Notamacropus eugenii: one gene and its partner. The protein of the gene in region 1 purifies or fractionates together with the protein of each later gene. This does not show direct contact. Links are inferred from orthologs where the notes say so. Each region holds a gene or a part of one and is shown in the gene's direction. Other genes may lie near its edges.

The links. Proteins that work in one complex are often made in the same cells at the same time.
Region 2: the proteins of FYB1 (region 1) and LCP2 purify together in Homo sapiens (co-immunoprecipitation; 6 studies listed by BioGRID and IntAct, with this or other methods). This does not show direct contact. The link is inferred for Notamacropus eugenii from reciprocal best matches to the Homo sapiens genes FYB1 and LCP2.

The regions. Positions count from the first base shown.
Region 1 is NC_092875.1:421,214,876-421,218,625, forward strand, and holds the start of FYB1 (FYN-binding protein 1), read left to right. Parts: upstream 1-1,402; 5' UTR 1,403-1,487; coding exon 1,488-1,556; intron 1,557-3,750. UniProt on the Homo sapiens protein: Acts as an adapter protein of the FYN and LCP2 signaling cascades in T-cells. May play a role in linking T-cell signaling to remodeling of the actin cytoskeleton. Modulates the expression of IL2. Involved in platelet activation.
Region 2 is NC_092872.1:401,764,574-401,768,323, reverse strand, and holds the start of LCP2 (lymphocyte cytosolic protein 2), read left to right. Parts: upstream 1-936; 5' UTR 937-1,132; coding exon 1,133-1,210; intron 1,211-3,149; coding exon 3,150-3,212; intron 3,213-3,750. UniProt on the Homo sapiens protein: Adapter protein primarily involved in signaling pathways within T-cells, as well as other immune cells such as platelets, mast cells, and natural killer (NK) cells.

The DNA.
Region 1 (3,750 bases):
TGGTACCTCCTCCCCTCCTAGTATGCATGCCAAGTTTATACTGTTAGGCTTCTATAATTCTAGATTATTCATCAATTTCTTGAAAGTGGGTTTTGCTTTCAGGGGTAGAAAGTTCAAATTTTAGGAGTTTCTTTCATTCAAGTTAAGAAAGTGATTTTACCCTACTGTAGTTTCCTTGCATGAGACTGACAGCATCAGATTTGTCCTTTAGAAATATCAATTTGGCTGCTCTCTGGAGGATGGATTGGAAAAGGTCAACAATGGAGACAGGAAGGCTATTATAGCAATCCAGGAGAAATGATAAGGTATGAATTTGGGTGGAAACTCTATGAGCAGGAAGAAGGGCACAGATAGGAGATTTATTGTGGAGGTAAAATTGATAAGACTTAGCAAATGATTGGAGAGGGAGGGACAAATTAGTGCCATTCACTCAAGTTATTAGAATGAGGGTTCCCTAGGTTTAAGGAATTTGAAAACATAGAAGAGACTTGATCAGTTTGTCCTACTCGTTTCAGTTCCTTCATTTGGTGGTCATTATCTGTCCAGATGATTGTGTGACAATCTCCACTAGGGAAGGAAAAAGTAAATTCATATAAAAGAATTATGTGTTCAAGGGAAATTTATCAAAGAATATTCTTCACAGCTAGCTGGAGATGGGAGTGCGTTGCTGCAGGCTTCCAAATCTACAACTTAACAAGGGCAAAGGCATTGGTGGCTCATTAGAGGCAGCTAGGTAGCATAGTGGGCAGAGTTCCAGACCTGGGATCAGGAAGACCAGAGGTAATATTATTTTCTAATGGCTTTAATATGAGGTCTACTTGTTTTCTTTAACCTTAAGTAGACTGTTTTGAGCCTCATGAGTCTCTGTGCTTGTAAGGGGAGTTGGTGACCAATAAAATAGGTGATATTTAAATAGTGCTTTCAAGTGCTTTGCAGAGCAAGCTCTTTACATATATTTATCAGCTCTGATTCTCCTAACAGCATTACAAGGTAGATAGGTGCCAGAGATATCAGGCCCATTTTGCCAGTGAGAAAACTAAGGCTCAGTGAAGGGTTAAATGACTTGCCCAAAGTCCCAGAGCTAGGAAGTTAATTTGACTTGCTTAGTTTATTACCATAGTACATTCTTCCCAAAGACACTTATCTTAGCTCATGAAGCCAGGGCTATGCATACGGCAATGCTGTATTTCAGGAATTGTCGGTGTACATACATGAAAGCCTCTCAGTAGAAGTGACTGACCTGCAACATATTTCTAAGACTCACACTCTTTGAAAAGGTCTTACTCACTCATGTAAAGGAATAGGGGGAAGGGGAGGGAGAGTTTCCAACTTCTCCTTTTGAGATCTCTAATGTAAACAAACAATGAAAAGACTATAAAGAGTGCAGTAGTTTCTACTCTGATGTGCAAGCAAAGGCTACCTATGTTGACTGGGCATGCTCAGCTCTGACAGTTTCAGTTCTCAATAAGGGATAAAGAGAGGAAGACATGAGAGTGAACCAGGACACAGCTGATCCTAACAGAGCCTTGAACTTGAAAAGCAGGGCCAGGATAAAGGTAGGGGGGTACCTGGGAAAGTAGTATTAAGAATGGCTGGTATTAGGCGTTTTCATATCAGCTGACCGGCTGAGTGAACTCTGTACCCAGTGTGTCTCCGCTCCCCTCTGCTTCTCCACTCTTCACTATTCAGTTTCCCACCTGGAAATCTTTCCATGTAATTTAACAAATTATATGAAAAAACTCATGATCTTCTGATGAATAGTCTGATTCTTTATGCTTTCATCCCTAACAGGACTGTGTTTATTCTGTCCTTTGGGTTGGTTGTGGGCCATATAGTTCGTACAAAGAAAGAGAAAAATCAGTTCCTTAGGGGTGAATAACCAAGCTACCCTGCCCCTGCATGACTTCTTAAAGTTAATTTAAAACTTCCTGGAACGCACCTCACCTAGTTGGGAGTGAGCTAAACACAAAGCTGCTTTGCAATGGTTTAGTATCTTTTCTGTATTACTCTGTTTCCAGAGACCCTAGCAACTTAGCAGAATAATATAAGATGGCATTTGGTCAAATGGAGCTTAATAAAAATGTGTAAGTGCAGGAAGACTGTATGTGAAAAGGAGAATATTTGTGTGCCTTTGGCTCTCTCTGTATCTGGGAAGCGGATGACAGGGTAAAGGGTGGAGGTTAGAAAGACAGTAAAGCCAAGCATCCTGGCAAGATCAGGGGACCTGACTTTCATTCCAGCCTGTGATCCTGACTAGGTATATAATCTTTCCCAAGTTACCCGCCTTCTTCTGAACCTTGGTTGCTTCATCTCTGAAATGAGAGAATTAGGCTATTTGATCCCCCAGCGCACTTTCAGCTCTGATATTCTGTTTCTGTGAAAACATACAGTAGCTAACCCAGTGTTGAGCGCATGATTCCAGTTAGACTTTGGACCAGGACAAGATAGGACAGTGGGTCCAGGACCACATAATCAATCAGTCAATCAATATACATTTATTAAATGCCTACTATGCGCCAGGGGGGTTTCTTACTTAACTTGTAGTGTTCTAAATAGTCAGGGGTGTGTGGGCTGGGGTAGGACGGTGAGAAAATATCAGAGAGGATTTTGAGGATTGTGAAAGGACTTTAAATGACATCAAAAAAAGACATGTAACCAAGCATTTGGCAAATATTTCTTGCATGCCTACTACACGGTAGGTACTATGGAGGCTAGAGAGAAGTATAAGAGATGAACATTGCTTTTGAGTAGATATTAACTGAGCATTAAATGTCCCTGATGTTACAATATTGAGATATATGATCATTTTTGCCTTCAAGATGCTTACAGTTTCATTGAGAAAATGAAGCATACCTAATAGAGTTACAGAATCTCACAGATAAAAGGTATCCCAGAGGTCACCTAGTTCAATCTACGGAAATGTAGAAATCCTCTGTATAATGTCTCTAACCAATGACATCTCCTTGAAATTCTCCACTTAGGGTGAATTTATTGCTTCTTAAGAGAGCTCATCCTCTTTTTAGGTGTCTCCATCAGAATTTTTTTTCACTATACCAAGCCTAAATTTGTCTCTTTGAAACCTCCAGTCCTCTCCTAAGTCTCTACTGAGACCAAAAAGAGCAAGTCTAATCGTTTTCTAGATTTACATTCTTTCAAATACTAGAAGAGATCAGTCATGTCCCGCAAGACTTCCTCAAATCTCCCATTCTCCAGGGAAATAGGTCTAGTTCCTTCAAATAACTTTGGTACAGAAGGGAGGAGAGTAAATAAGTGTTCATATGCGGTGTATTATGTGCCAGGCACAGTGCTAAGCGCTTTGCGAATAATATCTCATTTGCTTCTCACAACAACCCTACAATGTAAGGGATATTATTATCTCCATTTTATAGCTGAGGAAAATGAGGCAAACAGAGGTTAAGTGTGTTGCCCAGTGTCACATAGTAAGTGTCTGAGACTTAATTTGAACTCAGGTCTTCCTGACTCCAGACCCAGAGCTCTATCTACTCTATCCACCAAGCTGCCTTAACTGAACACTCTTCAATCCCTTTCCCATTCTGCCTGACTTCTTAAAGATTTATTCCAGTCTGTTTATGTCCTCAAAATATAATATCTAGAACCAAACCCAAAATTCCAAATGAGTTTTGACTGGAGCACAGCAGGGCAGAGCCATCATCTCTTTCATCTCTCATCATTATGACTGTATTAATATAGCCTAAGATTCCATCACATTTTTAGCTACCATAATCACAT
Region 2 (3,750 bases), on another chromosome or scaffold:
ACAATTTTAAACACAAATGTTTATAGTTTTTTTATCATTATGTAATGCTGTTCAAGTGTGGTGAAGATCTTTAAAAGTCATGAGCCTAGGAAATAGAGATTGTTATGGCCATGGATCCTGGGAAAATAAATGGTAAGACTTAAAGGTATTATTTTAAGTTATTTGTGAGAGGATTTGGGAAAGCCAGCTAGTTTTTTTGCTTTATTTCACCATCTTCCCACAATTCCCTTGAAAAGACATCTCACAGTTGTAGGCACAGTACCTGGCATATAGTAGGTAATTAATATGTGCTTACTGATTGATTAATTATCACTTCTCAGAAGTCAAAGGCATCTCAAATTATTATAGGTAGGATGTTCCTTTGATAAGTCCTTGAAGAGAAACAGAAAATCATTAAAAACATGCAAACACACAAATTTCTCTGCAGATTTGTTGCATCTATCACTATTTCAGGTGAATTCTCACAACAGATTCTTATCCAGCAAGTCATTGCCTAGCAGGGTCAAATGTCCTTAAGCATGTGCTAATAAGTCTGTATCTGTGTTTTTTGGCTTTCTTTGTATCCTCAGAACTTGGTATGGTTCCTGGCACTAAGTGGATGATTATTGACTAACTGTCCTCTGCACATGTATGCATGCATATACCTAAGTTTTATCAGAAAAAGACTCAACCAACTTGGCATTTAAAAATATGTTTAAAGATTTAGGCCCTTTAATTGCCCCTCCCATCCAGACCGGGGAGACAATAATTACAGCTGAGACTCTTTCTAGTCCCTTGGGAAATTACCAGGCAAGCAGATAAATATGTGTTCCAAATTTCAATACCCCTGCCTCACCCCCCCACACCCTACAAGCTGAACTTCCTTGTTTACTTATTTAGAACCCAGCAAAGGAAGTGGTAAAGGAAACGAGCTAGCTGGTTTTCTGAGAAGAAACCATATTTGTTCGTAGAGGAAGCCGTTGGAGTCTAGGCTACAACTGCCTTGTAATGCAGACACCAAGTCATCTCATCTTATGAAGGAGAACTAGGTGCTGCTGGAAAACTCAGAATCGCTGACTTTCACTATTGTCTCTGTCAATGGGTATCCCACTCATGGCCTGAGTCTGTGGGTCCTCCAAACAACTAGACAGAAATGGCTTTGAGCAATGTACCCTACCGGTCCGAGGTCCTGGGCTGGGGTCCTGATGAGCTGGCAGAATACTTCAAGAAGGTGAGTTTTTCTTTTTCTTTCCTTTTTGGTGAAAGGATCTTTCCCCTGGAGTGCAAAAGGATGAGAACTGCTTCCCAGCGGAAAAAATTACCAGATGATCATGGTCAGGCTTTTAAGATAATCAGTCATGGGTCCTTTTTTCCTTGAATTCTAGGCTTGGACTGGATTTGATTTCTGAGAATTCCTGAGAAATTTCTGAGAAATCCCTAGCCAGCCAATCCCCCCTGATAATCTTCTATTTGATTTGACATCATACAAATGTCAATGCAAGGGAATGCTCTCTGAAGTATTCCAATTCTCTTCTTAACTGAAGACTTTAAAAATCATTCCTGGGACATGGGGGATCCTAACATTTCAGAGCCCAAAAAGATCATCCTGTTCAATGTCCTAATTTGACAAATGAAGAAATGAGGCCCAAAGAAGAGAACAGATGACTTATATAAAGCCACAGAGTTAATTAGTGGCAAAATAGGTTCTAGTAGCCAAGTTTGCTGAGTTCTAGTCCAGGTTTCTAATAAGCTGTGAGGGAATGAAAGATTTAGGGGGCCAGGTAAGGACAGAGAAGTGCATATTCTGGGTGGGGGAAATTTTACTCCAGGGATCAGTGAAGGTACTGGTAACAGCTACTGGTGACTCTGACCTTCCAAAATATGGCAGCCTCTCACATCCAGCGGCCAAAGCCAAGTAACAATGAGAACCAAGTAATTTTCAAACCAGCCTTCAGGTTCAAGGTTTGGGAGTGATCCTGGAGCCAGCAGAGTTATTAGAGGCATGAGAGAGTAGAACCTGGGTTGTTCTAATCATAGAGAGGAGAGCAGAAGAGAGGAGGGGAAGCAACATTTCCTAATGAATCAGTAGGAAAAGACTTCCTAAGACTCCCCCTCAGAAGAGAAATTCATTGATCATCAAATGAGGTAATATATGTAGAGCATTTTGCAAATATTAAGGTGCTCTACAAATGTGAGCTGCTATTACTCACCTCCCTTAATTCCCTAGATAGGAGGGCCAGGAAAATGGAGGAGCTTCATCTTCCTGTCTAATTGCTTCATTGGTTTAGTTTTTCTTCCCCAACCGAGTAGCAACCTTGAAAGATGGGACTACATATTCTGTTTCTTGGCAATCCCCTTTCTTACCTATCATATCCCACAAAGTCTATGGGGCAGGAGCTCTATATTTTTTGATTAACTTTCACTGAAGAAAGTAGAATCAAAATGACCTCTAAGACCAGAGTGGTCCATAATCCATAGATGAGGAACTAGAAGATCTGACCTCCACCTCTACCCATAACTTGCTATGTGACATTGGACAACCTTCTTCCCTTTCTGGGCCTTATTTTTCCAATCAATAAAATGGGAGAGAGGGTAAGCTCAAATTTTCAAAATCCCTTTTATACATTTCTTTTCTGAATGGAGCTTAATGGGAGCAAGATTTTTGCTTTCTTGACTCTTGTTGGTAGGACTCTCAGTTTACATCTCTAGAATTAAAGTCGCCTAGGCCTAAACCAGCACTATGCAAAGACCCTTCAGTTACTAACAATAAGTTAGAAGGATCCAATATTATTTTCCCCAGAATGCAGGGATACCAGACATTATCAGGCAAAGTCCTTGAGGACGTGAAAGCTTAGCCAGAAAGTTCAGTCTTAAAGAGCTAGTAAGGCAGTGATGCCAATATTCTATCTATGACTTTATGTGATAGCAACCTCTTTCTTCATGGACTGGACTTCCAACCCTTTGCAATGAAGAACTACCCATAGCAGCAGTCTGAAAGCTTCTTATAGCAATCTGAGTGGTGGCAAGTCTCCAGCTTTGGGGGAAGAGAGCAAGTTCTGTAGCCGATTCCCCCATTGGAAGGCTCCTAAGGTGATCTGAAGATGGAGGAGGGGGTAGCAAAGGACAATTCTCTCCTGCTGATGACAGTGTTCTTCCCTTTGTGTTGGCAGCTTAACTACAAAGACTGTGAGAAGGTAGTGAAGAAACACCTTATAAGCGGTCCAAGGTTTCTGGTAAGTATGGCCAGTTACGTAGCTAGATTTCTCTTTGAAATTAGAATATCTGAATGCTCTTCTCCCTGCTGCCCCACCCCACTGGTTTCACAATACAGTGATCCTGGACCAAGCTGAGGCAAAATGGAGAAGTAGGAAAATTTTGTTTTCAGTGCCCTCATCCCAACTCCACTCCGAATCAGTATCATTGGTTCAGTGCCCAAAGTATGCTCTCACTCTCTGTCAATCTCTCTGTCTCTGTCTCTCTCACTCTCTCTGTCTCTCACTCTTTCCTACTCTCCATCTCTCTGTCTCTGCCTATTTGTCTGTTTCTGTCTCTGTCTCTGTCTCTCTTTCTCTCAAATTCCACTTTCAAATCTTTCATTCATACTAAGGTATAACCAACTGATAATGACTAAACCAGATAGGTTCTAGACATTCAAAGAATAGGGATATAGACAGTCTCACATTAAGCTGAATATAAGGTTATTATGGATAAAGGTAGGTAAATCAATAATGGACATTTATTCATTCAAAAGGGATCAATCAACAAGACCTC